2 linked regions of the Rattus norvegicus genome follow. The protein of the gene in region 1 purifies or fractionates together with the protein of each later gene. This does not show direct contact. Links are inferred from orthologs where the notes say so. Each region holds a gene or a part of one and is shown on either strand. Other genes may lie near its edges. The genes, in order: Topbp1 and Cdc45.

The links.
Region 2: the proteins of Topbp1 (region 1) and Cdc45 purify together in Homo sapiens (affinity purification with western blotting; 3 studies listed by BioGRID and IntAct, with this or other methods). This does not show direct contact. The link is inferred for Rattus norvegicus from reciprocal best matches to the Homo sapiens genes TOPBP1 and CDC45.

Annotation. Positions count from the first base shown.
Region 1 is NC_086026.1:112,794,164-112,797,978, forward strand, and holds part of Topbp1 (DNA topoisomerase 2-binding protein 1), read left to right. Parts: coding exon 1-23; intron 24-1,560; coding exon of another isoform or gene 1,561-1,637; exon of another isoform or gene 1,638-1,647; intron 1,648-2,090; coding exon 2,091-2,283; intron 2,284-3,815. UniProt on the Homo sapiens protein: Scaffold protein that acts as a key protein-protein adapter in DNA replication and DNA repair. Composed of multiple BRCT domains, which specifically recognize and bind phosphorylated proteins, bringing proteins together into functional combinations.
Region 2 is NC_086029.1:95,692,966-95,696,780, forward strand, and holds part of Cdc45 (cell division control protein 45 homolog), read left to right. Parts: intron 1-1,232; coding exon 1,233-1,388; intron 1,389-3,267; coding exon 3,268-3,323; intron 3,324-3,815. UniProt on the Homo sapiens protein: Required for initiation of chromosomal DNA replication. Core component of CDC45-MCM-GINS (CMG) helicase, the molecular machine that unwinds template DNA during replication, and around which the replisome is built.

The sequences.
Region 1 (3,815 bases):
TGGAAGGGACGACTGCAAAGGAGGTGAGAGGCACTTGTTTACCCCTCATGCCCATGCCACGCCCTCCAAAGACAAGGCTTCTCTGAGTGCTTCTGGAGCTGACTCTAGACCAGGCTGGCTTCAAACCCAGAGATCACCGTCCTCTTTCTTCCAAGTGCTGGATTAAAGACCTGCACCACAAGCCAAACGCACTTTCCACTTGTTGGTTTTGACTTGAAGTCCCACGTGCATTTTGCCGCTAATAGAAGAACTGGGTTGGCCGTCTAGCTTTGAAGCCAGACACCGACTTCTCCAATAGCCCTGGAGAGGCATCTTCTTCCGGTCTGAGTCATCTGCTTAGGGCAGTCAGTTGCAGCCTCGTGTCCATGAGAAGCTGTGTGCTCGCTGGAGTAGCACTGTGAATTTCTTCTGAGAATTTTCTCTTTGCATTCACAGCTTGACTGTTCAGCATAAGAGGCATAGCCTTTGACCTAACTTGGCTTTCATACATCCCTTTTTCACTCACCTTGGTCATTTAGAGCTAAAGAGAGGAGTGTGACTCTTTTCGCCTGGCACTTAAGCCACTGGATGTTAATTAAGCTAGTTTTAGTACTGTTGTTTCTTGGGGGTTGAGGAAGTCGTAGGAAGGAAAGAGATGGGGAGCAGCCAGTCAGGTGTGCCACTTGTGTAGGTGTGGGGCACACAGTAGCAACATCAGTGGTCACTGGCTACAGGCGACCGACCAACAGAATCATTTGGAAGACTTGGACAGTTGTTAATACATGGTTCACAGCCTTTTCTTTTCTTTTCTTTTTTTTTCTAAAAAAGAGCAATGTTTCAGTGTTTTCTGTTGCTGTAGAACTACACCTGGGGTAACCTAGATAAAGGGTACGTTTTTAGCTCTAACAGCTTTAGAAAATGAAAGTCTAAGCTTGCTTGGACTCTGATGAAGACCTTCTGGTATGTCAGGAGAGTTTATCAGGAAGGGAAAGAGTGCAAGTGGGTGAGTGTCATCACAAGAAAGACTGCAAGCAGGGTAGACCAGCGGAGCAACCTACAACAAAACCAGCCTGAGGCCCCTGAAAACTGCACTAATTGCTTCTGGGGCAGGCAGTGTTCCTCATGACCCAGCTACCTTAGGCTAGGCCTCATCTCTTAGGAGTTGACAGCACTCCACACACAGGAGGGTGTGCACCGAAGCCATAGACCATGTCTGGGAATCGGGAGCTGCTTCAGTCTTGGGTTTTGTTTGGTGGTTTAGTGTGTGGCTTGTGCTTTATTTTGCTGTTTCTTGCATTAGCAAGTTATTTTGAATTTCTTACTAATACAGATAGCGCTGCACTGATTACCTTATTTAGATGTGTGGGTTCTCTTCTGACAGGTTACTCTCTGGCTTCCTTATTCAGCCTGCCTATTAGAACTTGCTTTCTCACTTACCTGTTCCATTCTGTTCGTGTCAAACATTCCTACTTGGTATCTACTTGAATGTCTAGTCTGTAGTGGAAAGGAAAGACAAAGAGGGATTAGTGAAAGCTTGGGCAGTGCTTTACAGCACTAATCCTATTCTTGATGCTGAGGCAGGAGGAGCCGGCCTTCAAGACCAGTCTGAGCTATGGCAAGACCCATCCCCCAAAGCAAATAAACCTCAGAGCTATTGAAAAAAATCAGGTACATACAAATGACTATATGACTCTTTGTAGTATGCATCAATGAGAAGGGATCAGAAGCAAGCAGGGCACTACTCAGAGGGACTGAGCCAAGGCAGTCTTCAGTATTTCAGATACAGTCCTCAGGATTGCCTTTGTGTTTTGTGACATTTTAGCCTTGCATTCCTATATAAATATTCAGTAAATGGCAACTTTGTTTTTATTTAACCAGATCTAGACAAAATAGTTAAGATATGATTGACAAGAGACGTTTGTAACTGTATGGTAATGCATGTCTGAAATCCCAGAACTCTAGAGACTGTGGCAGGGATCACAATGGGGAGGGAGATCAGCCTAACCCCACACTCAGATCCTATCTTCAAAATCCAGCCAGGGGGAGGGAGAAGAAGGAGAGGAGGGGACACACTTCTCTTGATTGTTATTGACGACTGACTGTCTTTCAAGCTCTGACCCAGGCCTTGGAGATGAGAGAGAACTTCCAGAAACAACTACAAGAGATCATGTCAGCAACCTCCATCGTGAGGACACCAGCCCAGAAGACTTGCATGTCAAGAAGTAGTTGTAACAGCGCCTCTTCAACTCCTGACAGCACTCGCTCTGCTCGGAGTGGACGAAGCCGAGTCTTGGAGGCGCTCAGGTTCGTGTGGTGGCGGCTCACTTGGATGAAAACCCCTGGTGACTTGGGGTTCGGGTTAGGCTTTTTTTCCCCTCAGGCTGGCCTTGAACTCAGAGATCTATCCGCCTCTGCCTCCCAAGTGCTAGGACTGAAAGGTTTGTACCACCACACAGGACTTTAATTTTTATTTTTTTATTTTAAAATGAAGCAGAAGTTGGACTATTAAGGAGTTTATGCCGGTGCTTTATTTAACTACGCAGCGTGCTTTATCCCGCTGCCTTCTGGGTTTGTGTGTTGCTGCTCAGTTGTCTTCTGTGTTCTCTCTCGCTTAGGCCACTGCGCAGTTCTGACTGAAGTATGTGACTTAGGATTATCGTGTGTTTGAGTGTGTGCTGTGTGCTCATGGAGACATGCATGCCACAGTACCCATGTCAAGGTCAAAGGATGACCTGTGATGTCAGCTCCTTTCACCCCTAGCGGCTCCTAGGGATTGGACATATGAACCTAGGTCTCCAGCCGTCCTTTCCTTCCTTTTTATTTCTTATTTAAATTGTATGTACTTTTTAAAATCTGTGTTTTAGGAAAGATGACCACAGTTCTGAGTGCAGTATAACTTCAGCTCGGAGATATAACTGTATTTTCTCTGTCTTTATATTTTTGAGGCAAGGTTTTATCGTAGTCTGGCCTGCAATACTGTGTAACTAGTGTTAGCTCTAAACTCCCAGTTCTCCTGCTTTAACCTGCCAACTGCTGGAATTAGACCACCCCTCCCCCTCTGGACCACCTTTCACCCTCGTTCTGTATTGCTGTGTAGCCAAAGTGGGCTTTAAACTTGGTGTCTTTTATGTCAGTTTACCAAGTGTTGGATCCACCAATAGCATTTTCCTACTAGAAGACAGATCTCTAACTGTACGGTAGAGTTCTGGTGCCTGCTGACTTCATTTGTCTTACTCTGTGTTTTCCTTGAGGTAATGTTGAATTCTGAGAAAAGTGGCTTTTCCCTAACAGAGCAGGTTGTGTTTTAGATTATAGAATCTTACTCCGTGCCAAGTCATTTGCGACTAAAAGGCTCTCTTGGTTAGTTGGTTTGTTTTTAAGACAAGGTCTCACTGTGTAGCTCCACAAGGAGGAAGAAGAGAGCTAGCTCCTGTTAACCTCCACATAAACTCACTGTGTCACATATGTACACACACACACACACACACACACACACACAAATAAATGTAAAAATATTTTAAATATTTTTAAGGGACTAGAGAGAGTATAGTTAAAGAATGCTTGCTCCTCTCTAAAGGATCCAAGTTTAGTTCCCAGCACACACATGCTCATAACTGCCTGTGACTACAGATCAAGGGGATGACCTTGACCTGTAGCAATTCTTTCTGGGCTCCTTGGGCACCCGTGTCTGAACACATAAACAAGTAAAATACTTGAAAATATTTTTAATGCATTCATAATTAAATAATTCAGTAAGTAGTCTATCATAGACTGGAGATTTTTGGTCACTAAGGGTTGAAAGACCCATTAGTTATAGGTTTAGTAATGTTATTTAA
Region 2 (3,815 bases), on another chromosome or scaffold:
CAGCACAGCATTTGGAAGGTGGAGGATCAGAAGATGGCTCTACTGTACTTAGTCTGAACCTCAAAGCATTAATACAAAATGTGGCACAGACCAGCTGTTTAAGCCTTCTGTGATCTGCTCTTTCCACAAGGCTTCAGACTCTGAGATCCTCAAAGAAGGATCTCTTCAAAAGAAATCAGTCAGCAATTGCTATTAGAGACGAAAATTGTATTGTCTTAGGGGTCTTGATCCATTTGTGTCTCTATAAGAAAATATCCGAGACTGGGTACCTTATAGATAAAAGTTATATTCAAGAACATGGTGCAAACATCTGCTCTACTCAGTAAGACCCCTGTAGTGAGTGGTTTCCCCATAGAGGAAGTGTATAGGATAGTGAGGAAATTTCCATGGGAAGACAGGAACATCAGAGCAAGCCAATGAAGTTTTATAGCCGGGTGGCACAAGGAAGAAGCTCGACACACTTCTGAGAGATGCTGTTATTCCATCAGTAAGGAGAGAGCCCTGATGACCTAACACTTGCCAGGCTCCACTTCTTAATGGTTCTACCCCCTCAATACCCTACACAGGCAGCAAGCTTCAGGTGTGGTGGACCATTTGGGGGATAAACCATTATGACATCCAACCAGAACAACACATTCATATTCTCTATCAAAAGCCAACTGGTAGAACTTTTTCTTTTTTTTAATGTATAGCATAAGAAAGAAATGTTGGGGGGGGGGCAGAGAGATGACTCAGTGAACCTGGGTTCAATTCCTAGTACCCACATGGCAGCTTCTAACTGTCTATAACCCCAGTTCCATGGGATCTGACACCCTCATGATTTAATAATGCCATGCGGGACAGCTCTCGTGCCTTACTGGACTGTGCGAAGCAGCCTGAGCTCTGCTGTCGTGTGCACGGGAAACTTGGGAGCAGCTGGTTAAGAAAAAGTGAGATTCTACAGAACCAATATGATGAATGGTTTTCTGGAAAGGAGAGAAGAAAAACTGCATTGGTTTTTTTTTTTTTTTGTTTTAAGATTTATTTATTTATTATATATAAGTACACTGTAGCTGTCTTCAGATAAATCAGAAGAGGGCATCGGATCTCTTTACAGATGGTTGTGAGCCACCATGTGGTTGCTGGGAATTGAACTCATGACCTCTGGAAGAGCAGTCGGGTGCTCTTAACCGCTGAGCCATCTCTCCAGCCCCTGCATTGGTTTTTTTGTTTGTTTGTTTGTTTTATAATAGATCAAATTGCTTATTAAACAAGAGGATGACCTCGAAGTTCCTGCCTATGATGACATCTTTAGAGATGAAGCAGAGGATGAAGAAGATCTTTCAGAAAATGACGATGGTGGGGCAGAGCCTTCAGAGAAGCGCTTACGGTTAGAAGGGTTAGAAGAGGTGAGTGGGTCAGGTGGGTATCCTGAAGGAAGCAAAAGTAGGACAGGTGTGTGACAGCCAGCTGTGGCATTCCAGGTGTGTGTGAGCCAGCTGTGGCATTCCAGGTGTGTGTGAGCCAGCTGTGGCATTCCAGGTGTGTGTGAGCCAGCTGTGGCATTCCAGGCCTGTGCTCAACTGGGCACGCCAAGCAGAGGGAAATGGAGGAGTTAGTGCACATTAGAACAGACTCTGGCTTCTACCCACTAGCATTGTGGCCTCTGGAGTTTTCTGGAGTTATTTGAACTATGGTTTATCTCCACAGGAGGATCCTGGCAAAGGGAATGAAATTTAGGTCAGTTTAGCTCGATGTAAGATTAACTAGCAAATGTTCAAAAAAGAAAAACTCATCTGGTGGCACACGCCTTCGATCCCAGCACTCTAGAGGGAGAGGCAGGCAGACTTCTGAGTTCAAGGCCAGTTTGGTCTACAGATCACTAATCCCAGGACAGCCAGGGGTACACAGAGAAACCCTGTGGCAGTGGGAGCAGGCAGGGGCAGACCCACCATGGAGAAACATTAAACCTCCACTTTCCCACAGTATCGCTCATTGTAGTTAACAGAAAGGTACCATGTGTGGCTGATCCCTTGGCCAGTCCTACAGAAACACTGTAAGGAAGGCGTGTGTGTGTGTGTGTGTGTGTGTGTGATCTGAATTTGATCAATAGAAGGGATCTGCCCAACATGAGCTTCTGCTAGCACAAGGGAGGCAGGCGGGTAGATGGTGGCTGTCCTCTAGTGGGGCTGTATTCTTACCTGTTATTGCTACTCTTTTATTTGCTTTAGTGCTCACAGGTTTGAGTCTATTCTGTGTGAGCTTCCTTTAACTTTTTATGGGGATTTTTGGTTTTGGTTCGTTTGTTCTTTTTGAGACAGGGTCTCACTGTGTAGCTCTGGCCAGACTGATATGGCAGCTTTGGTTGGGGACTTTGTTCTCCTTCTGTTGGTTTATCCCGATTGGCAGCTTCTTGGGTTTCAAGTCTAGGTAAGCCAAGAAAGGAACGCAGGCTATATACAGGTCTTTAACTGTTGTGCCTTTGCTCTTAGCGTTTGCAATATTGCTTAGCTTCATATATGTAAGAGTCGCAGTATGTCCAGCCAACATTGGGATATCTTAGCACCATCTTCCTGAAGGAAGTCTTGTGGTCATAGACTGTAGAATCACCACAGCACCCATGCCTTTGTACCTAAGAAGTTAAAACCATTGCTGGCACACCCAAGAGGAAGAAACACAGCTCTTGTTTTCCTGGTGGCAGACAGGGACTTTAGATGCTAGATGGGCAAAGTGGCCAGACGCTGGGCGTACAAGGAGCACATGCCAGGAAAGCCTGTGCTCCTCTCTATCTGGGTGGTGTCCGCCAAGTTCTGGAGCCAGATGAACCAGTCTTCCCCTGCCTCAGCTATTCAGCTTCCCAGGTACAGGCTGAACTTGGAGAATAGACAAAGCCTACATTCTCCCTCAGAGATCTGTGCCTAGGGGCTTCTTCCAAACCAGCCCTTCGCCAGGCTTACCCTTTTTGTCTTAGATTCTTTTCTATTGTGACAAAACAGCGCGACAAAGACAACTTATAAAAGAAAACATTTAATTTAGAGCTCGTGGCAGGGAGCACGAAGGACAGCGGGTAGACATAGCCCTGGCACAATAGCTAAGAGCTTACTACCCCCTTAACTGTAAGTAGGAAGCAGACGGAGCTTCAGAAACCTCCAAGCCCACCCCCAGTGACACACCTCCTAATCCTTCCCAAATAGTTCATCAACTGGGAGCCAAGTACTCAGACACTTGAGCACACGGAGGCCATCCTCACTAACCACCACGCTTTTCTTCCGTTTGTCACTGTTTCAGGAGATAGTGGAGCGAAACAGGAAGAGGAGGCAGCGCAGGGAGTGGGAGGCCCGGAGGTGAGTCTGGTGAGGTGGCTCTGTGGTACAGGAGCCCAGACTTTGTCCATCAGCGTCTTACCCATAATCCTTTCTGAATGCCACAGTCCCGTAGCTAGGAGTCTTGGGGTCAGCCACTTTGCAGAGAGTGCGTGGCTGTTGCCTCGAAGACCGTCTTGAATCACCCCATGTATTGGTCCTTGGCTTCCTAGAACTATAGGACAGGCCCAGTAGTCACCCAAATCCAGGCTCTTCCGTTAGAACGAGGCCTTTACCAGACTTGCTTTTCAAATGTGGATGCTTTCATTTATAATCTTCTTTAAAGTAAAATAACAGATACCTGGTGATTGCATAAAACTTTTCATGGAAAGAAATATGAAAAGTAATTAAGTTATCCATAATTCCTACTACTGCGTGTGCAAAAAAAAACCATGAGGTGCTTTGAAATGAAAATGCTAGAGTGGTTGTTCTCGCTTGAAATACACAGGTAGCTGTGTGTTTGAAACTGGACAC